Linked DNA regions of Xenopus tropicalis. The protein of the gene in region 5 interacts with the protein of the main gene of each other region in a pairwise test. Links are inferred from orthologs where the notes say so. Each region holds a gene or a part of one and is shown on either strand. Other genes may lie near its edges.

The links.
Region 1: the proteins of cep76 (region 5) and rpl9 interact in binary tests that used the Homo sapiens proteins (3 or more experiments, as listed by UniProt). The two-hybrid records come from large-scale screens. The link is inferred for Xenopus tropicalis from reciprocal best matches to the Homo sapiens genes CEP76 and RPL9.
Region 2: the proteins of cep76 (region 5) and akt1 interact in binary tests that used the Homo sapiens proteins (3 or more experiments, as listed by UniProt). The link is inferred for Xenopus tropicalis from reciprocal best matches to the Homo sapiens genes CEP76 and AKT1.
Region 3: the proteins of cep76 (region 5) and ttc21a interact in a two-hybrid assay, tested with the Homo sapiens proteins (2 studies listed by BioGRID). The two-hybrid records come from large-scale screens. The link is inferred for Xenopus tropicalis from reciprocal best matches to the Homo sapiens genes CEP76 and TTC21A.
Region 4: the proteins of cep76 (region 5) and c22orf39 interact in binary tests that used the Homo sapiens proteins (3 or more experiments, as listed by UniProt). The two-hybrid records come from large-scale screens. The link is inferred for Xenopus tropicalis from reciprocal best matches to the Homo sapiens genes CEP76 and C22orf39.
Region 6: the proteins of cep76 (region 5) and dzip1l interact in binary tests that used the Homo sapiens proteins (3 or more experiments, as listed by UniProt). The link is inferred for Xenopus tropicalis from reciprocal best matches to the Homo sapiens genes CEP76 and DZIP1L.
Region 7: the proteins of cep76 (region 5) and pin1 interact in binary tests that used the Homo sapiens proteins (3 or more experiments, as listed by UniProt). The two-hybrid records come from large-scale screens. The link is inferred for Xenopus tropicalis from reciprocal best matches to the Homo sapiens genes CEP76 and PIN1.

What each region holds. Positions count from the first base shown.
Region 1 is NC_030677.2:36,148,172-36,152,113, reverse strand, and holds the start of rpl9 (60S ribosomal protein L9), read left to right. Parts: upstream 1-1,142; 5' UTR 1,143-1,177; coding exon 1,178-1,253; intron 1,254-1,328; coding exon 1,329-1,444; intron 1,445-2,785; coding exon 2,786-2,881; intron 2,882-3,520; coding exon 3,521-3,653; intron 3,654-3,942.
Region 2 is NC_030684.2:99,749,721-99,753,780, reverse strand, and holds the start of akt1 (RAC-alpha serine/threonine-protein kinase), read left to right. Parts: upstream 1-1,260; 5' UTR 1,261-1,346; intron 1,347-1,600; exon of another isoform or gene 1,601-1,690; intron 1,691-1,830; exon of another isoform or gene 1,831-1,983; intron 1,984-2,021; exon of another isoform or gene 2,022-2,248; intron 2,249-4,060. UniProt on the Homo sapiens protein: AKT1 is one of 3 closely related serine/threonine-protein kinases (AKT1, AKT2 and AKT3) called the AKT kinase, and which regulate many processes including metabolism, proliferation, cell survival, growth and angiogenesis.
Region 3 is NC_030682.2:13,387,662-13,391,161, reverse strand, and holds part of ttc21a (tetratricopeptide repeat protein 21A), read left to right. Parts: intron 1-17; coding exon 18-147; intron 148-880; coding exon 881-1,038; intron 1,039-3,500. UniProt on the Homo sapiens protein: Intraflagellar transport (IFT)-associated protein required for spermatogenesis. Required for sperm flagellar formation and intraflagellar transport.
Region 4 is NC_030677.2:154,205,640-154,209,119, forward strand, and holds c22orf39 (UPF0545 protein C22orf39 homolog), read right to left. Parts: upstream 2,030-3,480; 5' UTR 1,970-2,029; coding exon 1,946-1,969; intron 1,320-1,945; coding exon 1,152-1,319; intron 652-1,151; coding exon 523-651; 3' UTR 501-522; downstream 1-500. UniProt on the Homo sapiens protein: Negatively regulates long-term potentiation and modulates adult synaptic plasticity. Stabilizes the interaction of RTN4 isoform A/Nogo-A with its receptors, inhibiting clustering of postsynaptic AMPA receptors at synaptic sites.
Region 5 is NC_030682.2:103,546,531-103,549,734, forward strand, and holds the end of cep76 (centrosomal protein of 76 kDa), read left to right. Parts: intron 1-2,386; coding exon 2,387-2,525; 3' UTR 2,526-2,704; downstream 2,705-3,204. UniProt on the Homo sapiens protein: Centrosomal protein involved in regulation of centriole duplication. Required to limit centriole duplication to once per cell cycle by preventing centriole reduplication.
Region 6 is NC_030681.2:131,745,447-131,748,946, forward strand, and holds part of dzip1l (zinc finger protein DZIP1L), read left to right. Parts: intron 1-895; coding exon of another isoform or gene 896-1,033; coding exon 1,034-1,471; intron 1,472-2,829; coding exon 2,830-2,914; intron 2,915-3,449; coding exon 3,450-3,500. UniProt on the Homo sapiens protein: Involved in primary cilium formation. Probably acts as a transition zone protein required for localization of PKD1/PC1 and PKD2/PC2 to the ciliary membrane.
Region 7 is NC_030679.2:136,780,425-136,784,371, reverse strand, and holds the start of pin1 (peptidyl-prolyl cis-trans isomerase NIMA-interacting 1), read left to right. Parts: upstream 1-1,147; 5' UTR 1,148-1,196; coding exon 1,197-1,254; exon of another isoform or gene 1,255-1,290; intron 1,291-3,947. UniProt on the Homo sapiens protein: Peptidyl-prolyl cis/trans isomerase (PPIase) that binds to and isomerizes specific phosphorylated Ser/Thr-Pro (pSer/Thr-Pro) motifs.

The DNA.
Region 1 (3,942 bases), on a different chromosome or scaffold from region 5:
ATGTAAGCAATCTATTGATCGGGTCTGCGTTCTTTACGTCCCATCCAGGCGGTGCGCTCCGGCCATATAAAAACGTAATGACGACACACGCTTTCCCTTTCCTCTGTCAGCTGCGAGGTGAGGATATGGCGGCTTTATCGAGAGAGCTTCTGCAATCTCATTTCATCCTGGGAGAGAGAGGCTATTTTTGTCATCCGTTACCGTTTTATGAATGTGCAGTGTTTTCTCCCTCTCCCGATCTTTATATGTTGTCACTTTGCTGAAAGGGAGCGGAGGATAAGGGATATTTGTTGCCCGCCCCTAAGCTGCCTTGCAGTTTTCTAAGGCACTTTATAGGCTACGTGTTCCAAGGCCCCGACTAGTAATGTGGAAATTCTGCCAAATGCCACAGAGCTGTTATAAGTTGCCGGAACCCTGTAGAGGTCCCATTGGGTGCTGGAAATACTAGGGCCTGCTTTGAATCGCAGTCCAGGCTTTCCATGGAGCTTTGTGGTCTTATAATCATGAGAGATTTGAATCATTCTATTATTGCAAAGTGTTTTCAGTTCCAATATGTCTGTTTATATGGATTATACACTCCAGAGGCTTGTGGCCTGGCAGTGCCTAGTATGGCAGTTCAGCCATGGCTCTCTGCAGTAAGAGGGGTTTTCTTTTATGAAAAATCTTTTTGGGGTTCCACACACAGATGGTACAACTTGGTTGGGCTGTTTTGTCTCTCAGTGCAGCTCATAGTAGGCCTGGGACCCTTTCTTCTGGTGATCTATATCCCATCAGTTTTGTGGGGCTTCATTAATCCTGGGAGAAGGCAGCAAAAGAGGTGGATGTGTGTTTAAGGAGATTTCTACTTTTAGTGCTGAGCACATTGTGTTACTTTGCTTTTGACATACTGACTTGTATTTGGTGTTTGTCATAACTGTAAAAAAAAAAAAAAATAGCTGCAGCTTGTGGGGGACTTTATGGGGGAACTTTATGGAAGAATTCCCAGCATCCAACTGTTGGCATGGGATAAGTTTGTAATTTATAACACTGAGCCAGTTTGGGTAAATGCTTAATTTTAATAAATTAGGCTATTTCTGTGTAGCCCATGTAAATGTTCAAGGACTATGGCCTATTGATGTCAAACAAATGTCTGTCAGTGTGTCCATTTTTTAGGCGGTTTGTGATTGCTATATGTATAATGGTATTTTTTTTTTATATTTCTGATAGAATGAAGACCATTCTCAGCAACCAGATTGTTGACATCCCAGAGAATGGTAAGTTGTTCTGCTAATGACCCTTTTTGTATTTGCGCTTTCTCTACACGCTTCTGACTTACTGTCTCTTCATAGTTGACATCTCTCTGAAGGGCCGTACAGTTACTGTAAAGGGGCCCAGAGGTGTCCTGCGGAAAAACTTTAACCACATCAATGTTGAGCTGTGTCTTCTGGGCAAGAAGAAGAGGAGGGTGAGTAGATACATTTTTTTAAAACTGTTGAATAAGTTGTAATTGTGGGGGACAGGTGCTTGAGAGAGGGTAATGTCCAGGATGTAGGCATGATGGTGGGTTAGGTATGTTGGTGACACAGGTGTTAAAGGACATGGAAAGGCAAAGTCACTTGGGGGTGCCAAAATGTTAGGCACCCTCAAGTGACTTAAATCGCTTACCTTGTACCCCGGGCTGGTGCCCCTGTTAGGAGAAAATAGCACCAGCCCAGGGTACCCGCAGCGCTTCCTTCTTCCTGCTACGTTTTGCTAGGACCCCACGACCGGGGCATGCGCAGCAGAGTGAATAGTGGAACTTTAACAGAGAAGTCGACTTTTCACTCTACTGCGCATGCCCCGGTTGTGGGGTCCTAGCAAAACGTAGCAGGAAGAAGGAAGCTGCGGGTACCCTGGGCTGGTGCTATTTTCTCCTAACAGGGGCACCAGCCCGGGGTACAAGGTAAGCGATTAAAGTCACTTGGGGTGCTTAACATATTGGCACCCCCAAGTGACTTAGCCTTTCCTTGTCCTTTAAGGTACTAGTATTATGTTAAGTTTTATAGATTTTATGGTCCAATGTATTTTTTCTAGCAAAAAAAGTTATGGTTTTTTTGTATGTTTTATACTAGAATGTTTGGTTAATCCAGCTACAAAATAACATTCAAGCTGATCTATCCTTAAAGTGGCTTTACATGCTAAGATCCGCTCGCTTGGCGAGGTTGCAAATCAAGCAGGACTTATCCCTATATCCCCACCTATGGGTGGGCAATATCAGGCTAATTCGGTTTAGGACAACGGGTATGGGCGGCTGCCAGTTAGGGGACCGCATCAACGAGCTGATGTGGCCCCGATCCGACTAAATTTCAAACCTGCCCGATTTCAGGCCAGATGTCAGTCGGGCAGGCCCATCGTTAGTGGCCATACACGGGCAGATAAGCTGCCGAATCGGTCTAAGGGACAGGTATCGGCAGCTAGAATCAGCACCGTGTATGGCCACCTTAATAGTGATTGACCTGTTAATGTAAACTTTAGTGTGGAGCATATAGTGATTTTTTTTTTTTTTTTAAGCTGCATATGGCTAAATTTGGGACTGCAGGGAAACTTTTTCATATATATTTTTTTTAGACTGTCTTCAAGTCCGCCGCACTCCTTGTAGTCCAGTATTTGGTTAGGGCCTCACATAAGGTTTCAATGTAAGCCTATTATCCATAAGCATCATGTAGAGCAGACAAAAGTGCCTTTCCCAGGTTGGCCTTCAGGCTTGAGTAATGTCTCTAGATACTGATGTAGTTTGATTCCCCCCCCCTCTTCTCTCCACTCTTAGCTCCGGGTTGACAAATGGTGGGGTAACAGAAAAGAACTGGCCACAGTGCGCACCATCTGCAGTCATGTGCAAAACATGGTGAAAGGAGTCACACTGGTAAGTGGTGGTAACATTTTTCTCAGCGTAATTGGTTAGCTTTGTACAGGTCCAGAAGGCCTGCTGTCCTTATTGGATGCAAAACAATCCAATTGGGTTTATTTAATGTTTAAATGATTCAAGTAGCCTTAGCGTATGGGGATCCAAATGATGGAAACATCCCTTATCTGGAAAACACTAGGTCCCAAGCATTTTGGATAACAGGTACCATATACCTGTACTAAAGGCTCACTGATGTAATTACTGTCTGGTTATTATGTCAGTTATTGGTTGGTTTTATTTTTCAGAATTGCTGGAATTTCCTGGCAGGAAAGTGCAGATGTTTTATAAGGCATATTGCACACAGAGGAAAAAAGTGTCTCTGCAGACTGACATTAGAGTCAACTGCCTGTCATTTCTGCCAATATGTATTTGGGCTAAAACCTGTATACACATTAACAAGTGGTTGGTTAAATGTCAATAGCAGTTTGTGATGTGTGCCATAAGCCCACTAATTGTCACCTCTCACAAATAATTGCAATCAAGCATGTATTATAGTCACACTGTGTGGCTGGGTTTTATAACATTCAACAATTTGGCAGGAAGCTTTGCTCTATTCCCTCTTCATAATCAAATTTCTGCCTCTTTCTCTGACTACAGGGCTTTCGTTACAAAATGAGATCTGTGTATGCTCACTTTCCCATCAACGTTGTCATTCAGGAGAATGGATCTCTTGTGGAAATAAGAAACTTCTTGGGTGAAAAGTATATCCGCAGGGTTCGCATGAGATCAGGCAAGTGTAAAATCTGGACGCTTTCAATTCTCTGTGGCCTTTTGGAGTTTAAATTAGTTTAGAAACAAGCTGCTTGTTTCCCAGTGCTGCTGGTACTAGCAGAGAACAATAGACAAATCACTATACAAGTTTTTGACCGCTAATTGCTTGTCTGTTAAACTATTGCAACTGGTTATTCAGTTTGTGCTGAGGACATGCAGGGATATCCCTGGTATTAACCTTCTTTAGAGTTGATTCGCTGCAGCAAAGCAAAGACTCCTGCCTTCTCTCAACCTGCCAAGTTTGTCAA
Region 2 (4,060 bases), on a different chromosome or scaffold from region 5:
TTGGCCCACGGCGCATGCTTGTCCCCGCTGATTGCGCATGCGCGCACCCCCCGTGCGCCTGCACACTACCGCTGGGGGGGGGGGGGGGGGCGTGGGACCGGGGACAGCCTGGGGGCGGTGAGTTTTGAAATCCAGCCATGAAACCAGCACCATATATTATTTGGAATTGCCTACAAAATTAGGTTTTTTTCCCATTTATCCAGTATGTCTCCTTTAAAAAATGATAATGCATCATCCATTGTTATTTGCAAGAGTCTTTTATAAAAGCACCTGGCATGCAGTTTTATGTTTTTATATGGAAACAAACTCCTGTGTGGCTTCTAATATTGTTTTGAATAACAATAGGGCAGGCCCAGGTTGGAAATCTTTGGATTCTGGCAAATGTCGCCATAGACAGTCACAAATGATTGCGCTTGTGGTGGGGGCTGCTTGGGCCTCTATGCACCTAAAATACCAGGGCCTATTTTGACTCCCAGTCCAGAGTTGCAAAAGGGGATACATTATTTACTATATTACTACAAAAACCATACTGGGGCAACCCTGTTATAGTGGGCCCAGGAACACAGCATAAATAGTATTGAATTGAATTTATAATAGGGCAAGAATGTGGCTTTGAGGTACAACTCCCAGCACTCTCAGGGAGAGTCCTATGTCATACAGATAACAGGGCCTCGCAGTTTTCCTAAATATTTATTAACTTCCCTCACATATTGCAAAAGCCAAATACCAATAGTTAAATACAAAGCTTAGGGTGGTTATATGTACATTAACAAAGAATTTTAGCTGATTTTCCTGCACTGCATTACTGCGTGTGTATTTGCCTGCTTATAGAATAGAAGTTGCTCTGTGTCAATATACATACACGTAGCGACTTTAGTCAATGCCCTTCCATAGAATAGTGAAGAGTGAGGCCCCGTTGAAAGCGCGTTGTAGCTAAAGCCCACACTGCTGGCGGAGAGAGCAGCACACGGGTTAAGTCTCACCTGGCTGCTGGCTACTCACGCAGCGCTCAGGCTCCTCCCTTTGTGCTCTGATGGATTTCCTAGCTGAGCTGCAGCTTTGAAGCCTGCGGGCGGTAGGACCCGGTGGTCATCTGGAGGCAGGGTGTAAGAGGCACAGAGGGAAACCCATAGACAGCGGCTGGAGAAAGGAAGAGAAGGCAGGAGGGAGGATCGCTTTGGGCAGGGGAGGAAGAGCCATTGCTCACTGTGTGCAGGGGAGGAAGAGACAGAGACGGGCACACACACAGCTGATGCACAGGAGAATGATCCGAGGCTGAAGACTGCAGAGCCGAGGCAGTTATCCTGCAAGCGGCAGCAGTACCCACATCCCAGGGTGGCAGCAAGGTGACAGCAGCAGCAGCAGCAGCAGCAGCACTACTCTCCTGCCAACCATCAGCAGCAGCCGGTTCCTCCCATCCCTCCATGCAATCAATGGGCTGAATCTGCAGCAGCAGCAACACTACAAGCAAAAGCAGCCTTATCCTTCCCCACCTCCTCCTCCCACCCTCTCCCCCTCTGTGTCTGCTCTCCTCTCCTCCCTTCTTTCCTCTCCCTTCCCTCTCCTGCTCCCCTCGGTGATGGTGAGGCTTCAGCTGGCTGTAATCCACCGCTAGGCCCCAAGCCCCCCTCCCAACTCGGTGGCTGCCCTCCTCTTCCAGACTCAGCTCAGTAATACCTCTTGCATCCATGTAAGTCAAACCGCCCGGCACTTCCATTTCCTAACCTTTGTCTTCCACCCTCTGCCAGCACCCACGCCCTTTTTTTTTTTTCTTCTTCCATTTATTGGTATAATCCTTTAACCCTTTAGGTGTCAGAAAGCCTCCCCCTATCGATCATTGCGCAATGCACCAGGGGGGCCTTATGTCACTGACAGGGTTAAAGCAGGACAGTACCTAATACCCTGAGAGGCATGGGGGTGTTGGTCAGTGTTACAGCCCTGTCAGGGCCTGGCGTTGTTTAGTGCTCTGCAGGAGGGGTAGCGGTAAGAGAGCAGCATGCAAACTGCAGCTGATGCAAATGCGCCAAAAATCAATCACATCCCAGTAGTCTTGCTACACAAACTGCCTGCAGGGCAATGCTGTCGCCTTCAGTGCAACCCAGGATGTGTATAATGTTCCTGTTGTGTAGATGTGTGTATGTTTGTTCATAAACAGTGTTAATTTCCAGGGAAGGGCTGTGGCTGGAACTATGGCTGCTCTGCAGGGGGGCTGGCAGCATTGCTTTTTAAAAAGATGGCAGGAAAACATGTATGTATATATATTTATATAAAGATGGTAGAAATGTGCTGCATTTGCTTCTTATCCAGTCTATATACTCAGTTGTCCAACATGTGGCCCTCTGGCTGTCATAAGATGGCAACTCTCTGACATCCACCGCAGCGGAAGGCTGTCATAGGCTGCTGGGAGTTGTAATTCACTGACAGCAAGCAATGCTACAGGTCGGACACCCTGGTGAAATCTAGTAATATCCCCCTTGGGCTGTAACAAAAGCTATCCTATTGCACTAGCATTTCTTTTGCTTACATCTCTGAACAAGATAGTGTTTTACTTCTAGACTGTTGTGTTATGTATGTAGTCTGTTACTTGCTGAAACTGATGTGCTCTTTGTGTGTCCCCCCACCAAACGTGCCCACTTCCTGTGTACATGCTCTAATGTGTATGGGTGTGCTGGCTGAGTTTGACACTTCCTCGCTCTGGCCTGAGCAATCAAGTACTGTGGATTACTGTTGCTATCCAGACTTCGAGGAATATAGCAGTATTGTGAAATTTGTTTACCTGAAAAATATATATATATGTGTTCAGTTAAAAGTAGGTTGCAGTAAGCATGTGGTTGGCATTTGGCAAGTTCCCCACAGTAACTTAGCACAACAATTAACCCAGTCGTTATTGTGATGTTTTTCTTAGGCAATGTATTTTCCAGTAATGTTTCTCGGGGTTTATGCGCACATTAATTTCCAGCTGAATAAGTAATAAGATGTTCGCTCATGGTTTAGCTAGATTAGTATTGCAGGTACAGAAATCCTGTAAAATCAAGAAACAACTAGATTATTTGCATCAAAAAACAGTTTGGTTGTGTCACAAGTCCAATGCTGTGTGTCACCTTTATGTAGTGCGCTAAATTAAAAAAAACAAAAACAAAAAATTTCATGACATGTCCTTTCTATGTGCAGTCATCTGGATTTTATTCAGTGTCTGCTATTGCAACAATGTAAAAAAAAAAAAAAGAGTATAGGTTAATAAACTGGGCCCCGATTAACTTTTGCTACTATTTTTTATAAAAAAAATTAAATAAAAAAAAATTGTAGTTCATTGTTCTTCTAGTGATCAGTGAATGAAAAACCAAACTGCTGATTTGATGCTGGTTTGGGAGACCAAACTCTCTTGAATGCAGGAAGCAACTAAAAACATGATCATGCTGCTGGGCTAAATAGGAGCCGGTGCAACTGACCTGCATTATTTATAAGCATCCTGCATTTAAAGGTAATACCTTCTCTCCTTACTCTTAACTAAGCAGAATATACAGTAGGTAACTTGTATGCTAAAGCCAATGTTTGACTGTAAACTTATCTGTGCATTTGTATAGTGTAACCTTTCATTCTACCTATAATATGTATTTGGCTTTGATTTTATATTGTATTCCACTTTGGTTCAGGTATATTTCTCTGAGCATGCACATATACAGAAGTTAGATCACAAATATATTTAAAGAACATATAAAAATAGTTTTTTGAAGTTTATTAGAAATGTTTATGCTATATTGTTGTAGGATAGTGTTGGGCATAAGGATAAATTAATTCAGAAAAAAACTTTGTATGACATGTCTCCCAAGTATATATCCTTGAGGTTTGACGCCTATTCGTAAATAATCTTAGGTTCAACTGCACTGCATTATTGTAGGGAAAGCAACAGTAGGCAGTGCTTGGAAAATGCAGAAAACAAACAAAATAAATCTGAAAATATAACTAAATCAGCATTTCAACTCCTGTACAGAGTCTGTGGCAAAACCTCAGTGTAGGAAGCAGAATATTGGTTTGTTATGACTTTTGTGTCAAGTACTTG
Region 3 (3,500 bases), about 90 Mb from region 5:
ATCTTTGTGTGTCCAAGCCCAAAGCCCCAGGGGAGCCACTGTCACCCCTCCTGAAACAAGCACTGTCCATTCTCACCCCTGTGGTCAGTGTGGCACCAGCCCTGACAGAACCTCTGTACTACATGGCCCAGATTAAGTACCTATCAGGTAAGTGTAGATGGAATGTTCTATATCACATTATAATAATCCTTTGCCATTGTAGATGCACACAGAAAATACCCTGGTGGCACTATCCACCAATCACCTCTATTTCTTACAAATGAACAACATGTAAAGTAAGATGCACTGTATTGTTGGGCCAGACCAAATTTGATAGTAGGGTTCTGCATCATGTAAAAACAATCTCAAGGAAATGTCATCATTGTATTCATGTATCATTGTATAGATGTATGATTTATACATGGAAATTATAGCATTTCCACCGGACTTTGTCCAATGCTTAGTGCCTCCCACATACCGACATTGCAAACTGGGTGCTCCCAAGTTTCTTGGCAAAATACTCAGTAAGCATCACAAAAGTTACTGGGCCAAAATCAGGGTTCATGCCCAGCTTTGCTTTCTCCCTAATCAACAAAAAAAAAATATATGGGAAAAACAATGCATAGTGGGTAAAAAAACTGTGATTTATTTGTGTGTATTTGTGCCTCAGTTTGTAAATAAGCTTTCGTTTGTGCACCATTTCCTTGGCTTTGTACATACTGATCATGGTTAGAAACCCTGTGCTGCACTGATGAGCCCAGAACCAATGTGATCAGCGCAGAACACGGGCTGTGCTTTAATGCCAAGTGGGACAGTGAGCATCAGCTTATAGGGTATCCCATAGAAATAGATATGTCTGATGCATACATGACTGTAATCTGTATTACTGTATCATTTGCAGGAAATTTAGAGGGAGCCCAAGGAAGCCTGCAGCGCTGTATAGAATTAGACTCTGCTTGTGCGGATTTCCACCTCCTCATGGCGCAGATTCACTACGGCCAGGGGAAGTTTGCTGAATGTTTGGTGTCTCTTGAAACTGCAGTCAGTCACAACTTTAAGGTAAGCAGTGTACAGTACTAAACTCATATTGCAACAGTGGGCTCCCGGGGACCTTGAAAAGTAAAATAATTTGAGGAGCAACACAAGCATAAAAAAATATTTCCTGGGGGTGCAAAATATGGGCTTTAATTGGCTATTTAGTAGACCTTAAGGTGCCCATACACGGGCCGATTCTAGCTGCCGATATTGGTCCCTTAGACAGATTCGACAGCTAATCGGCCCATGTATGGGCACTACCAACGGGCCTGCCCGACCGAAATCTGGCCTGAAATCAGCCAGATATCGATTGGGCAGGTTAAAAAATCTAGTCAGATCAGGGACTGCATCGGCTCGTTAATGCAGCCCCCGAACCGTAGGATGGGTATATGGATATATGGATATATGATCCATATATCAGTCCTTGCACTCTAATGCAAAAATATATATCTTGCGGGGTGCACAGCCAAGTTTGATTACTCACTGTAAACATTTAATGACTGGCACACCCTGTAAAATTATCACAAGTTTATTGCGATAAACTTATATATATATATATATATATATATATATTCAGCTTGTAGACAGGCACTCACGTCATAGAGCAGTAGCCATGCCTGGGTGCAGTCCAAAAAGTATAGGAATAGTAGCAAATAGAAATGTCCTGCACTCACAAGTCTTATGTGAAGCAAAAGGTGTTTATTAAATCAACATCTACATATCTATATATATATATATATATATATATATATATATATACATTCCAATTGACAATGCGCACTCCTCATCCTTTATAATTCATTTATTGTTGCATTAAAAACATCAACGTTTCGGTCCAGGTCTAGGACCTTTATCAAGATGTTAAACCATGAAAAAACAAACACATAATGAAGCTTTATACAATACCAAAGTAACCCCTCCCCCCACAGCATAGCCACAACCCTACTCATTAACCCCTACCCTGCATGATCCATACAGAGATTCAGGGTTAAAGGGAAAACTATCAATGCACATAATAAACACCATTACTGACATATAATATCATTTTACCTCGTTGGTAAGAAACAATTGAAGGAACAATATTCATTTAGACCTCTTGGTGCCAAAGTATCCAATTTTTTAATCCAAAAGGTTTCCCGTTGGAGGAGCAGTCTAGACCTGTCGCCCCCTCGCTTTGGCATCGGAACATGGTCAATTGCAATATATCTAAATGTAGGTAATCTATGTCCAAACTCCAGGAAATGTTTAGCCACCGGTTTTATCGATTTATTGTCCCGATATGCTATATTAATGGCTGACCTGTGGGCATCCATACGAAGGCGCAACATGAGATCTGTTTTACCCATGTAGGATAACCCACATGGGCATGTAACCAAGTATATTACATGGGTTGTCGTACATGTAATGTGGTGACGTATCTTATATCGTTGTCCCGTATGGGGATGGGAAAAACTACCCCCAGGGGTCATAAAACGGCAGGACATGCATGAGGGACACCTAAAGCACCCTTGTTTGCCATTGGGTAACCAAGTAGGGGAACCTTTTTTAGGGAGGTAACACTTTACTGGATCACTCACCACTAACAAATCCCTCAGATTCTTACCCCTACGGTAACCAATAGTAGGTGGATTTGGACACAACCTACCCAATGTATCATCTGCCCTAATAATGGCCCAATTGGCTCTTATTACTTTCCCCAAATTATGAGTCACTTCATTGTAACTAGTGGAAAAAACAAGATTTACACTCTGATTGTTGTCTCTCTTACGTTTACCATTTACCACCTCCTTAGCTTTAGCTAGAGCCAATCTCAATACAGACTCATCGTAACCTCTTTGTAAAAATCTGGTTTTCATTTCCAATAGTTGTTGCTCGCATTTTCCTGCATCTGTAATAAGAGCCAATTGGGCCATTATTAGGGCAGATGATACATTGGGTAGGTTGTGTCCAAATCCACCTACTATTGGTTACCGTAGGGGTAAGAATCTGAGGGATTTGTTAGTGGTGAGTGATCCAGTAAAGTGTTACCTCCCTAAAAAAGGTTCCCCTACTTGGTTACCCAATGGCAAACAAGGGTGCTTTAGGTGTCCCTCATGCATGTCCTGCCGTTTTATGACCCCTGGGGGTAGTTTTTCCCATCCCCATACGGGACAACGATATAAGATACGTCACCACATTACATGTACGACAACCCATGTAATATACTTGGTTACATGCCCATGTGGGTTATCCTACATGGGTAAAACAGATCTCATGTTGCGCCTTCGTATGGATGCCCACAGGTCAGCCATTAATATAGCATATCGGGACAATAAATCGATAAAACCGGTGGCTAAACATTTCCTGGAGTTTGGACATAGATTACCTACATTTAGATATATTGCAATTGACCATGTTCCGATGCCAAAGCGAGGGGGCGACAGGTCTAGACTGCTCCTCCAACGGGAAACCTTTTGGATTAAAAAATTGGATACTTTGGCACTAAG
Region 4 (3,480 bases), on a different chromosome or scaffold from region 5:
AGTATGCTTTTTAAATTTTGACTTGCATTCTCCTTTAAGGATTAAGGACCACCTCCTGGGATCATAGGATTCACAGTGCACACAAACAAGCCAAGGCACACATACTTGCTAGGTCACATCAGTCAATTAATGGACAGAGTTCTGCCTTTTGCTTCCATACTGGTCATGTGATCTTAGGGAGCACACAGCCCATCACTAAATGGTGCATCAATGGAAAGGAAGTAAAAGGGCAATATTTACTATAATATATATATATATTCCAGTTTGCAGGGATTCTTTAATTGGTCACTTAACATAATATAATCTTTTGGTTACATATGCATTCTGGGGGCATAGATTTCCTTTAATTGCAGAAGAGACATGGGTTATGGGGGGAAAGTCATCTTACCACTTTAAAAGCGACAGTATCTCACAATGGCGTTCAAAAAATAAGCAAAATAGCACTTGCCACTCTGCAAGTTATACTATCATCTTTGCTTAACTAGGACAAACGCAACAACTTCTTTTATAATACATAATTCTTTATTGTCTAGGTTTTCTATCATCTAGTGGCAGATACCAGTCTGGTGGGGGATTTTTTCTCAATGTCCATACGGGTGAGTTATTCCGCTTGCCTTCAAGCCTTGTCCTTTCACTCTGTTGCAAAGTTTCCTGTATTAAAAGAATCATTACATCAGGTCTTAGTGCACTTAGCCACCAGCAAACCTAAAAAACAGTGCTAAACAACAAATCTCATGATGTAAACCAGGGAATCCCAATTTGTAGCATTCTGCTTTTTGCAAGTTATAAAATCCAATCACAGAAATCATAAAGGTAGGCAAGTCCTCAGCCAAACATTAAATGAGAAGTTCACCTTTCAAGTATTTTTTAGTATGACACAGATAGTGATATCTATACTGAGCTGATTTGCAATTGGGCTTAATTGTTTGTACTTTTTTCATTATCTAACTTTTTGGTTGCTAGGTTCCAGTTTACCCTAGCAACTAGGCAACAGTTTGAATGAGAAACTTGAAATATAAATAGGAAAGCCAGCCCAGCCTGCTCCTCCCGCCTGGAATACATTGTGACCATACTCCCACCCCTTTTGCAGAAGGAAGGGGGGGGTGCAGGAGCTTGTGGTGCTTATGTCCTACCCCATTTGTCTGCTGTACCTTTAGAAGCTCACTCTTTGTTTTCTCCCAGTCCCTGCAAGTCATGTAGTCTCTCTTCCATTCCTGGCACTCTGGTGCTTTTCCATGGGTGTAATAATTATGGAAGTGGTTTCTCAGACTCTTGCAGTGTTTCCATTCAGACCAATAATCATCACAGTCACGTGGTGGCTAATTGGATACAAAAAGGCCAATCACAGATTACTAAGAAAACAAAAATACACATTTATGGCTTTTCTTACCAAGTTTAAATCCAGTATTGACAAAATGGCTTAGATAAATCAACTGCTGCAGATGCAGTTTCCTCACTGCCCACAGATTAGGCAACTTCAAGTATCTTCTCACTGCAAGCAGTATTGCAACTACTGTAAATACTAAAAAATAAATCAGTTCTAAGAAAAATATATCCCAAAACAAGCTTGAATACAAATACTGATATTTTCTCTATTAAACTGCATGTCCCACCATAATACTACAGCTACACAGGCAGCATTTTGCATAGGACAAAAACACTGTAACAAGACCCCAAGGAAGCAGCCCCTGACTGCTGGAGGAATGCGCTCAGTGGCAATGGCAGCAGTTTCAACACCACATGTTTATAAAGAGGGAATATAAAATGATTTTCTGCAGGGCTTAGTAACAATCCGTCCCAATATGGTGCGCTCTTTTACAGCGTTGCTATCATAAAACCCTGAAAAAACCGCCTTAGGTGCATTAGAATGAACCCAAGATTAGATTACTTCGGGAATACTGAACACCCAGATTTAATTTCAGTTACTAATTGAAACCTCACATACCCTCCAACCACCCGTGTCAGACATGCCGCTTTCTACTGCCACACTGTCCCGCCCATCAACATGAGTCAGCCAATCGCAACGACCTACAACCTGAAACGTTTCATCTGTTTCCGATTTACAGGCTCCCAGAATCCCTTGAGCGGTGACCTCTGATTGTTGGGGGAAAGCGTGACACGATAGGGCAATAATCCTGAAGAAGGCGGGGCTTAGGCGCAATATCGCTGATACGGTGTTGAGTAGCAAATATAGTTGGTCAACGAGATTATGTGACTAACTGATGATTGGTGTTTGCAACCATCTGAGGTGACTCATGCCTGTTGATCATTTTTATTTGTTATGAGCGCTGCTAATATAATACTTAAGGTATGAGTTTCTTATCTCAGTATTTCCTTTAGTGTGTAAGCTCTTCGAACAGAGCCCTCTAATCAACCCTTTTCTGTTTATTGGGTATCTCTTGTTTTGTTAGAATACAGTTTTAAAGCAAACACAGCATATCATTTTGGTGCCATATAAATGGTGATGAAATAAAAACTCCCCTGGAAGCAAGTGGCTCACTGACTCTGTTTCCAGTTTTAATGCGTTCCTTATATGCTGCACCACCTGTCAGAAATAAAGCAGTCAGGCTGCAGAAGTCTTGAATATTTTGCTCTGATATCTCATATTCTTAATATCAATGCAAGTAAAGTCAAGTGTAGCCTGCAGTATATGCCTATAATGAGTCAGTTGTCAGAAAAAGACATATTTATTGTCCAGGTTGCCTCATTTTATATGCTGGCAGAATTAACCAGAACCTTAGTAGATGTGAATAAGAGGTCCTGATAGCCATGTTTGCTGGCACCTACTCCAAAGTAGAGACACAAAACATGATAATCTTATTCTCAAGTGGGGCATTTTTGGCCTACAAATGCTGTGCCCTAACTAGCTCACACATGAGAAAGAAGGGGGGGGGGGGGGCATGTGATGCTCATTTCACCATTTAAGCTTGTGACGCTGAACAATTTACACAAATGTGCATAATCTACACCAAAGCTGTCCAACTGGAGGCCTGTGGGCCGGATGTGGCCCCCCCCTTTTTTTTTTAAAGCTTTTATTTTGCATATTTTACATTACAAACAATATAGAAAATAAGAGAGAAAGAAAAGGAAAAAGAATTGTATGGATGGAGGTTCGTGTGATTTGCATTTAGGTAGACTTTTTTGTATAGTAAAGCAACTGCAAATAGCATAATCTGGAATAGGACCAAAGTTGTAGGTCTGCAATTACTCCTAGTAGACACAGATCAGAAGAGCGAATATTTTGAAGTGCTAGCTTATCATAAATAAATTGTAAACACCTTGCCCCAGAGAGATCCAAAAGACATGAAACAAAGTGCCAACGTCTGCTCTACATTTGGGACATTGATTAGACACATTGTTATAAATTTTTGCCAGACGATAAGGGGCGAAGACACATGGGCCGACTAGTCGGCACGACTTTTTGAAAAGTCACGGCGACTAGCCCGCGTGATGAAATTGCGCAATCGATTTGTCATGCCG
Region 5 (3,204 bases):
GCCAGGGGTTATGTTTTGCATTGGTGCCAGGGCAGGGACCCCCTAAAACATTGCTAGCCAGCCCAGGGACCCCTAAAACATTGCTGGTGCTCCCCCAGTGTCTTCATACTATGGCCTGCTCCCCCCAGCGTCGTCCTGCTTCCTCCGGCTTCCCCTCCAGCTGTGTCCTCTTCAGCCCATGAATCTGTCTTAAAGGAATACTGTCATAGGAAAACCATGATTTTTTTTTTTTTTTTTCCAAAACACATCAGTTAATAGAGCTTCTCCAGCAGAATCCTGCACTGAAATCAGTCTTTCAAAACCCCAGGTTATTTTATATTTAAAGGGGAAGGAAAGGCAAAGTCACTTGGGGGTGCCAAAATGTTAAGCACCCCCAAGTGACTTTAACCGCTTACCTTGTACCCCGGGCTGGTGCCCCTGTTAGGAGAAAATAGCACCAGCCCGGGGCACCTGGAGCGCAGCGCTTCCTCCTTCCGCCTTCCACTTCCTAAACTGCCGGTGGCCAGGCATGCACAGTAGAGCGAAAAAGCCGACTTAAATGTTTAAGTTCGGCTTTTCACTCTACTGCGCATGCGCGCGCAGCGAAGCCGGAAGGAGGAAGCGCCGGCAGCTACCCCGGGCTGGTGCTATTTTCTCCTGACAGCGGCACCAGCCCGGGGTAAAAGGTAGGCGGTTAAAGTCACTTGGGGGTGCCTAACATTTTGGCACCCCCAAGTGACTTTACCTTTCTTTTTCCTTTAAATTTGAAATTTCACATGGGACTAGCCATATTCTTCATTTCCTAGGGTGCTACAACCATGTGACCTGTGCTCTGATAAACTTCAGTCACACTTTACTGCTGAGCTGCAAGTTGGAGTGATATCAACCCCCTCCCATTTTTCAGATATTTTCAGAATATAATTAATTAAATTGTGTATCATTTCTGAAATAATCAAGTACTATTTTGTGTTTCCCTCTCAGCATCTGTCTCTCTTTATGCATGAGTCGGAGTCAGATTTTAATTGGCAGTTAGGTCTAATACATACTTTGGGGGGTGTTGCATTCTCTGCCCAGAAGATATATTAGAGCTCACTCGTTTCAAGTAACTGTCTAACAGAAATCCTGTTTCTCTACATGCAGGATTTTTGTAAAAGTCCATTATTTTGTTAGATTTTGTTTGTGCTGCAGTCAGTTTTTTTGAATTATCTCTAATACATCTGCTAGGAAGATGTATTTCCGGATAAGGAATCTTTCCGTACTTTGGATCTCCATACCTTAAGTCTGCTAAACTATTTAAACTTTAATTAAGGATTGTTTTGCCTCCAATAAGGTCTAATTATATCTTAGTTGGGATCAAGTACAGGTATAGGAACCGTTATCCTGAAACCTGTAATCCAGAAATCTTAGAATTGCGGAAAGGCCATCTCCCATAGACTCCATTTTAAACACATGATTCTAATTTTTTAGAAATTATTTCCTTTTTCTCTGTAATTATGAACCAGTACCTTGTACTTGATCCAAACGAAGATATAATTAATCCTTATTGGAGGCAAAACAAGCCTATTGGGTTTATTTAATGTTTAAACAATTTTTTAGTAATCTTAAAGCATGAAGATCTAAACTACGGAAAGATCCCTTACCCGGAAGACCCCAGGTCCCGAACATTCTGGATAACAGGTCCCATATCTGTACAAAATTTGAATAATTTTATTAAAATGAAGTCTATGGGAGATGGCCTTCCCGTAATTCAGAGCTTTCTGGATAATGGATGCCTTACCTTCTATGGTTCCCATGTTGTAAGTACTAAGCTGAAGCTTAAATTCCACATCTTTTGTTTATCTTACAGTAAACAAATCTTCAACAGTTTAAGGCTTGTGCCATACGGGGTGATTTTCAGGTGTTTTGCTCACCATGTTTTTTGCTGTGGAAAAATATGGGCCAGTTCTGCTGTTTTTTCAGGCAATAGTCCATTGATATGAAAACAAATGTTTTCACGTAAGAATTACCTGAAAGTGCCAGTTCTAGCACTTTCATAATGAGGTAAAATATAGGGTGCAGATGTTTTGTAGACTACAGGAAGTCAACTCCATGCTTCATTTCTGACACTCAATCCCGATATGTAATGTAAGACACTAAATGTTTGCCCAGGTGCAGTAAAGCGCTACCAATAAGATGTTTGCTTTTATACATGTGACCAGTAAATGCTACCTGCTGATTGGTTACTATGGGTTACTGCTCCAGGGCAAACAGTGCATTTTTTTACATAACCCCGAGGTTGTCTGAAACTGAGCAGGGAAACGCCAAGAAAAGCTTTTTGGGTACAGAGCTTAATGTAGCTGTCACTCCTTAGTTACAGATGTCCTGACCACCGCTCAATGGTTTAATTTTTTCCTCCTAAATTTCACAGGTCTCCCTTTTGTGATGAGATAATCAGCTGTCGTGGGGACCAGATGAGGCTTGCTGTTCGTGTACGAGTTTACACATATCCAGAAGCTGCTTGTGCTGTGTGGATTATGTTTGCTTGTAAATATCGTTCTGTACTATAACCTTTTTAGTAATATTATTGGAAATTTACTTGAATCAAACTTTTATATTTAACTAGAGGTGTGTGGATTTCAAAATTATGCTTTTATATGTTATTTATACAAACCATATCTTCTTACCATGTAATATTTTATTTTTATTTTTTTAAATAAAAATGTGTATGGGATTGTATTAAGCATGACCCCTTGCACCTTGATTTGAAACCTAAATCAAAGGTCATGCCTGTGCCATAGATTGCTTTCCATGATAATAATGAATATAATACTGATGTATTAATAGAACATTTAGGGAAAAGGTTATAAAAGTTTTGTAGTGTGGGTATTTGACCATTTAACATGCACAGCCTATGGTAATCAAGCTGTAGTGCAGGGGGCCCAAATAGTACAAGTAGAGCATTAAACTTCAAGTGTAGTATGGGATATCGCATACCAGGTATTTTTATCACCAATACCTTCAGTGGCAAAAAAAAAAAAAACTGCTGTGAATTACTACTTCTTTTTCAATTGATAGCTATAGTCAAGGACCAAGGGCTACTTTCTTAAACCAAACAATATAAAGGCATGCTTGAGACCTCACAACAAGAATGCAAGCAAAAAAACATTCATATCGTTCTACTACCCAAGAACTGGTTTCATCCTGCAACTGCGAGTCGGTGGCATAGTGATACTTCAAATTGCCAAT
Region 6 (3,500 bases), on a different chromosome or scaffold from region 5:
GACACCTAGTGGTCATTTATCATATAACCTATTTATTAAACAAAGAAAAAACTACAGTCGGGGTCAAAACTAGGCAGCTGCCAAGCTGCTCCGGGACTGAAAGGGGACCTGTCACCCACACATAAATAGCTTTATAATAAAAATCCTTTAAAAAATATACTTGAAACCCAAATTATTTTTTTAATTTAATCATCTATACCTGTTATAAATGTATTTAAAAACCTGAGCCGTCAATCATATATTGATGCCCTGCCTCTATGCCTCAGGCAACTTTTCATTCAGCACTTTCTAGATATCACCTGGATGGCATGGTATAAGATTTTGGGGTGATGCAAAGCTTTCCTTAATAAAAGTGTACACATAATGGCGGCTGCCTGCTGGCTGTGACTGTAAATTCCAAGACTGAAAGAAAAAAAAATGCAATAATTTCTATAGTGTAAGTAAAGTTTATTTAGCTGTACCAACATGATACAAAAGGATTTGGAATAATTTCTTAGGGTGACAGGTCCCCTAGAAGGAATCAGTGGTGCTCTGGATTGCAGAAAATTATCAAAAAGAAAAACATCTTACATCTGATTCTTTCTTTTCATTGGAGCCTCCAAAAGCAACAAATATGAAGCTTTTCTGTGGTTCAAAACTTATAGCGCCACTGATTTTTCCTAAGTTCTGCATTTGTCAGCCACTGAAAACTCTGCAAGCATTAAGGGAAAAGAGAGCAACCTGATCTTATACAATGTACACTCCCCTTGCAAGTACTTGCAGGGAGATCCACTGAGACACCCAGCCCACACTCTTAAATGGTAGGACTAGTATGTTTTGTGCATTGTATTATCTAGTTAGCAGCATTAATACAGTGCAACTAAGTGCAATTAACACTCTGATATATCTCTTGCAGCCGTTGTTCCAGAACATTTACTATCCATTGCCATCTCTATCATTCAGCACACGTTCACTGAAGATGCCCGGATACCACTCTTCCCCTGTACAGTATTCATCGCTTCCCTATGTGGTTGCAACACTGCAAAGCACTGCTATGCCAACCTTTAGATTTCAGCCGCGCAGAGATGGCATCGACTGGAGGCGGTTCAGTGCCATTGACACTGAAAGAATCACACGAGAGGTAGACATAAACACGCTTCAGGAGAGCATTAACTCCATAACCTTCTGCAATCTAGAAGGGGAGAAGTGCCCCTACTGTCAGCAGCCGGTCGACCCTGTGCTCCTAAAGGTTCTTAAGATGGCACAAATGATCATTGAATACCTACTGTATTGCCAAGAGCACATACACAGCAGGGAGGCCCAGCTAGAGGAGAGATTGGGCGAGGCAGAGGCTGAACATGAGCGCACCAAGGATGAGCTGGCCAAACAGGCTGAGGAGATGAAAAAAGTCAAGGAGGAAAGCAAGAGAAGAAAAAAGATGATTGCTACTCAACAAATGCTACTACAGGCTGGAGCTAACAACTATCATAAGGTGAGTCTATGCAATGAATCTGACAGGCTTTTTTCTTTTGAGTAGTGTCCCACATACAGTGGAACCCCCATACTACGTTTTTCAGGAGACCAGGAAAAAATTGTGGAAAATCTTGGAAATGTGACAAAGCAACTCATTCTTCAAGTACTCAAAAGATATAAGCACAGGAGTCTGTTTTAATTTTAAATTAAATATTTAAACTAGGGTTAAGCAGTGCAGCATTAATGTTACACTATGGGGCTGATTTACTAACCCACGAATCCTACCCGAATTGGAAAAGTTCCGACTTGAAAACGAACATTTTGCGACTTTTTCGTATTTGTTGCGTTTTTTTCGGCTTCTTTACGAATTTTTCGTTACCAATACGATTTTTGCGTAAAAACGCGAGTTTTTCGTAGCCATTACGAAAGTTGCGTAAAAAGTTGCGCTTTTTTCGTAGTGTTAAAACTTACGCGAAAAGTTGCGCATTTTTCGTAGCGTTAAAACTTAAAAGGTGCAAAGTTTCGCGTAAGTTTTAACGCTACGAAAAAAGCGCAACTTTTTGCGCAAGTTTTAACGCTACGAAAAATCGCCAGATTTTACGCAACTTTCGTAATGGCTACGAAAAACTCGCGTTTTTACGCAAAAATCGTATTGGTAACGAAAAATTCGTAAAGAAGCCGAAAAAATCGCAAAAAATACGAAAAAATCGCAAAATACCGATCATTACGAAAAAAACGCAATCGGACTCATTTCGACCCGTTCGTGGGTAAGTAAATCAGCCCCTATGAGTGCAGGACGGGGCCAGTGCAAGACTGCTGACAGGCAGAGGCACATCCTAAAGCAGTAAGTCATTTGTGCATAATTGTATAAGGTGCAGACTCATTGGAATTGACTATATACAGACAGAACCATGACAAGGTTTTGGATTAAAATCCAGGAAAACATTATGTAAAATTGAGGAAAAACACCCATTGTGAAATGCATTATAAACTAGTGGGACCGCAAAATGCTGTGGAAAACTTAAGATCAGGGTATTTAAAATTGAGATTTCACTGTATATAGTATTATGCAGTTTTATTTTGGAAATCATTTGGAACCCCAAGACATCCTCAGGGGGATCCCAGGACATCATCTGGTGAACTTTCCTCCCACCACTTAGGACTCTGTAACTGCAGACGTTTCAATATACATCCCTCTGGCACCTCTTAGTATGAGTTATTGCTTGCATTTCATACGCTTCTTCTGGATCCACTTGGGTTTAAAAGTCTATAGTATGGGGGTTTCTTTTAAGTGCATTGGGGCTTCTTTTTGGGGGGTGGGGGCGCCAAGTGTTATGCATGAATTTCAGGAATGTTCCTTTTCACTTCTGTTTGCAGTGCCAGCTCTGTGATAAAGCCTTCATGAACTATTCCTACCTTCAGGGACACATCCAGCGCAGACACCCTGAAATAACAGAAATTGGTATGTTGAATCCTCTTTGGAGCATCATGTACTAAAGGGGTCCTAACTTCTAAACAGAAATATCAGAATGAGCTGCTGTGTTTGTTACACCGTAGCTATATACAAAAGAGTGTGAGGGTCCTTACTAGCCTCCAGCAGAAAAAGAATAGTGGGTCAATTTCCCCAAAATTAGGTAGTCACAAAAATAGATAAAATAAATGTAAAATATTTTCTGGAAGTGGGTGTCAATTATGAGGAGTTTTGCTATTGAACTTCACAGTAAAGTTCTTATATAATGCTGTCCACCAGTAGTGATTACAGCTTTCATAACATTATATAACTTGAAGGCTGAGAGTGTCTGCAGATCAACAAAGGATACTTGTTTGTGGAAATCCCACGTTTCCATGAATTTATCTACATTAATGTTCTTCCATATATGATGCCTGGAGAACCTTCTTTGATAGCTGGATATCTAATCTGCCCTAGAAACAAAACCTGCAAATATACCCTTGCACTGGGCTCTATAAATGTGTTGGGTTTCTATATCTTTTCTTAGAGAGACAAAAGAAGAAGCAGGTGGAGCAAATGGAAGATGGCATTGAGGAAC
Region 7 (3,947 bases), on a different chromosome or scaffold from region 5:
TTCTATATTATATATAAAGCTGGCAAGCTTTTTTTTAATAATGGCTGCTGTTATAAAAACGATTGAGCAATAAAATAAAGGGCTGTTGTTACAATTAAGCAAAACACACTTTCCCTGACCGGGAATCGAACCCGGGCCGCGGCGGTGAGAGCGCCGAATCCTAACCACTAGACCACCAGGGAAGGTTGTATGTGAAATTGCCAGATTTATTTTTCCAAATCGCCAGTCAGTTCTAAAACCAGTGAAATACTAGTCCAAACCCACTTTGAAAGTAACCCAAAAATAGCCCAATGTGCAATGAAAAAAATTCTACAAAAATAAAAGTACATATGGGAAAACCTGCCTTTTTAAAGCATATAATCACTACCCAGTTACTGGAATGGCTGATAATTCCCTGCCCTCTGTGCCCAGTCCAGCTGGGAAGTCGCTACAGAAATAGATTCAGAATCTTGCATTAACCCCAGACTTATAAATATGGGTGCGTTCAACTACAACTCTCAGCAGCCCCAAGATAACTACAGACCTGCCCCCACATCACATACCCTATAGAGCAGGGAGCAGAACATACAGGTTGAGCCTGAAAGAGCAAAAAGGAATAGAAAACGGAGCCTCTGGCTAAACTGCCCAATTGCAAGCTGGGTATTGTAGTTTTATATTACTCCTAGTTGTAGGCTAATTGTTAGCTACAAACTACATTACCCAGCATGCAGTGGAACAAGCACACTAGGGGAAAAAACTGGCTAGGTTCCAAACTACAAACCCGCCAAGGCTCCAAAAACTAGTCCAAAACGGTACTTTGGCGGGTTTGTAATTTAAAAACAAACCAGGGCTTTAAATTAGTAGCCCAATTTGGCAGAAAAACCGCTAACCTGCCACCCATGCTTGTGAGAGCAATTTTAATGCGTAAGAATAGAGAGAGACGCGAACACATTTCTGCGCATGCGTCATACTGCTGCCAATGCGTACAACCTCTCAGCCCCGCCCCTTGTTTTATTAATTACTCCGTTTATTCCGTTACAGCCAATAGTGGGCGCATATCATTTCCCGCCCTTGCTTTCGGTTTTCAGGCTGACTACGTCGTCGGCAGATTAGTTAGCTTAATGGCTAAAAGCTTAGCAGGGACTTAACCAATGAGAAGCGCCGAGCTGACGGAGTGGTTTGTGTAGGCGGGGCTTGGCCTGACGCAGGAGGGAAAGATGGCGGACGAGGAGAAGCTACCGCCCGGGTGGGAGAAGCGCATGAGTCGAAGCTCGGGTATATGGAGTGTAGCGGGCACAGTTGTTATATAGAGTTAGTGCAGCGCTGGTTTGCTTTGTAGCTGTTCCTATTTTATTGTGTCTTGCACTGTGCATAGCGTCCTGATAAAGGTGCTGTTGCAAAGCTGCAGAACTACAATTCCCACTTTGCATTGCGCATTATAGTATTTAGTCGCCTGTAAACAGACTAAGAAATGCTAAGCATTGACTGCTTCTGCTACTGTATGGGGCCATGACTGGTGCCCTAGTATCTGCACCTATCTGTTCAGTGTCATTTGTGTCAGAGTTCGATCTGTTCCTGCTTAGATGCTGATGTGTCTGTGATTAACATGGTGCCTTGTGGCTATGTATTGTATGTATCCTGCTCGGGAATGGTCTTCAGTCAGGAGCCAAGCAGGCAAGGCCCTTCAGAGATCCTTAGTGGGGCCTAAATTAGTACAGTGGCCCCTGGGAAAGGGCCGTGGTATAGTAGGGAGAGATGGTGCCTATAGTAGCAGTGGGGGGATAATAGCCTCTGGGAAGGGACTGGGGCTGTGGGATAGCAGGTATAGTAGGGAGAGATGGTGCCTATAGTAGCAGTGGGGGGTAATAGCCTCTGGGAAGGGACTGGGGCTGTGGGATAGCAGGTATAGTAGGGAGAGATGGTGCCTATAGTAGCAGTGGGGCGATAATAGCCTCTGGGAAGGGACTGGGGCTGTGGGATAGCAGGTATAGTAGGGAGAGATGGTGCCTATAGTAGCAGTGGGGGGGATAATAGACTCTGGGAAGGGACTGGGGCTGTGGGATAGCAGGTATAGTAGGGAGAGATGGTGCCTATAGTAGCAGTGGGGGGGTAATAGCCTCTGGGAAGGGACTGGGGCTGTGGGATAGCAGGTATAGTAGGGAGAGATGGTGCCTATAGTAGCAGTGGGGGGGTAATAGCCTCTGGGAAGGGACTGGGGCTGTGGGATAGCAGGTATAGTAGGGAGAGATGGTGCCTATAGTAGCAGTGGGGGGGGTAATAGCCTCTGGGAAGGGACTGGGGCTGTGGGATAGCAGGTATAGTAGGGAGAGAGAGCCTCTGGGAAGGGACTGGGGCTGTGGGATAGCAGGTATAGTAGGGAGAGAGAGCCTCTGGGAAGGGACTGGGGCTGTGGGATAGCAGGTATAGTAGGGAGAGATGGTGCCTATAGTAGCAGTGGGGGGATAATAGCCTCTGGAAAGGGACTGGGGCTGTGGGATAGCAGGTATAGTAGGGAGAGAGAGCCTCTGGGAAGGGACTGGGGCTGTGGGATAGCAGGTATAGTAGGGAGAGACGGTGCCTATAGTAGCAGTGGGATAATAGCCTCTGGGAAGGGACTGGGGCTGTGGGATAGCAGGAATAGTAGGGAGAGATGGTGCTTATAGTAGCAGTGGGGGGATAATAGCCTCTGGGAAGGGACTGTGGCTGTGGGATAGCAGGTATAGTAGGGAGAGATGGTGCCTATAGTAGCAGTGGGATAATAGCCTCTGGGAAGGGACTGGGGCTGTGGGATAGCAGGAATAGTAGGGAGAGATGGTGCTTATAGTAGCAGTGGGGGGATAATAGCCTCTGGGAAGGGACTGTGGCTGTGGGATAGCAGGTATAGTAGGGAGAGATGGTGCCTATAGTAGCAGTGGGGGATAATAGCCTCTGGGAAGGGACTGGGGCTGTGGGATAGCAGATATAGTAGGGAGAGAGAGCCTCTGGGAAGGGACTGGGGCTGTGGGATAGCAGGTATAGTAGGGAGAGATGGTGCCTATAGTAGCAGTGGGATAATAGCCTCTGGGAAGGGACTGGGGCTGTGGGATAGCAGGAATAGTAGGGAGAGATGGTGCTTATAGTAGCAGTGGGGGGATAATAGCCTCTGGGAAGGGACTGTGGCTGTGGGATAGCAGGTATAGTAGGGAGAGATGGTGCCTATAGTAGCAGTGGGGGGATAATAGCCTCTGGGAAGGGGCTGTGGGATAGCAGGTATAGTAGGGAGAGATGGTGCCTATAGTAGCAGTGGGGGGGGGGGATAATAGCCTCTGGGAAGGGACTGGGGCTGTGGGATAGCAGGTATAGTAGGGAGAGATGGTGCCTATAGTAGCAGTGGGGGGATAATAGCCTCTGGGAAGGGACTGGGGCTGTGGGATAGCAGGTATAGTAGGGAGAGATGGTGCCTATAGTAGCAGTGGGGGGATAATAGCCTCTGGGAAGGGACTGGGGCTGTGGGATAGCAGGTATAGTAGGGAGAGATGGTGCCTATAGTAGCGGTGGGGGGATAATAGTAGGGAGAGATCGTTTGCAGCTTATTGGCCCATGTACAGTGCTGCATTCATAAGTAGCACTATTTACAAAAAAATTATACATAAATGCATGTATGGTGACGAGAACTGAATTAGTGCGTTTATGTTGTCCTTGACTAATGGGTCTGCATAGGGCCATTTTAGAATCTGCTTTTTATTGGCCCAGAAGCCAGTCAATCTGAACAATCCGATCTGGCTCAGATCAAATGAGCAGATATGTTAATGTATGAGTAACGCTATGCTATGAATTCTCCTGCTTTTTTTTTTATACCCAGTTATGGCTGCTTGTGAGTATAGACGTAAGCAGGGAATAAATGTTCTTTTGACATAGCAAACTTTGGCTTTACTTTACTGCCTGTGTACTAGATACTCTTGCTGTACTTTATAATCAATATAGCTGTC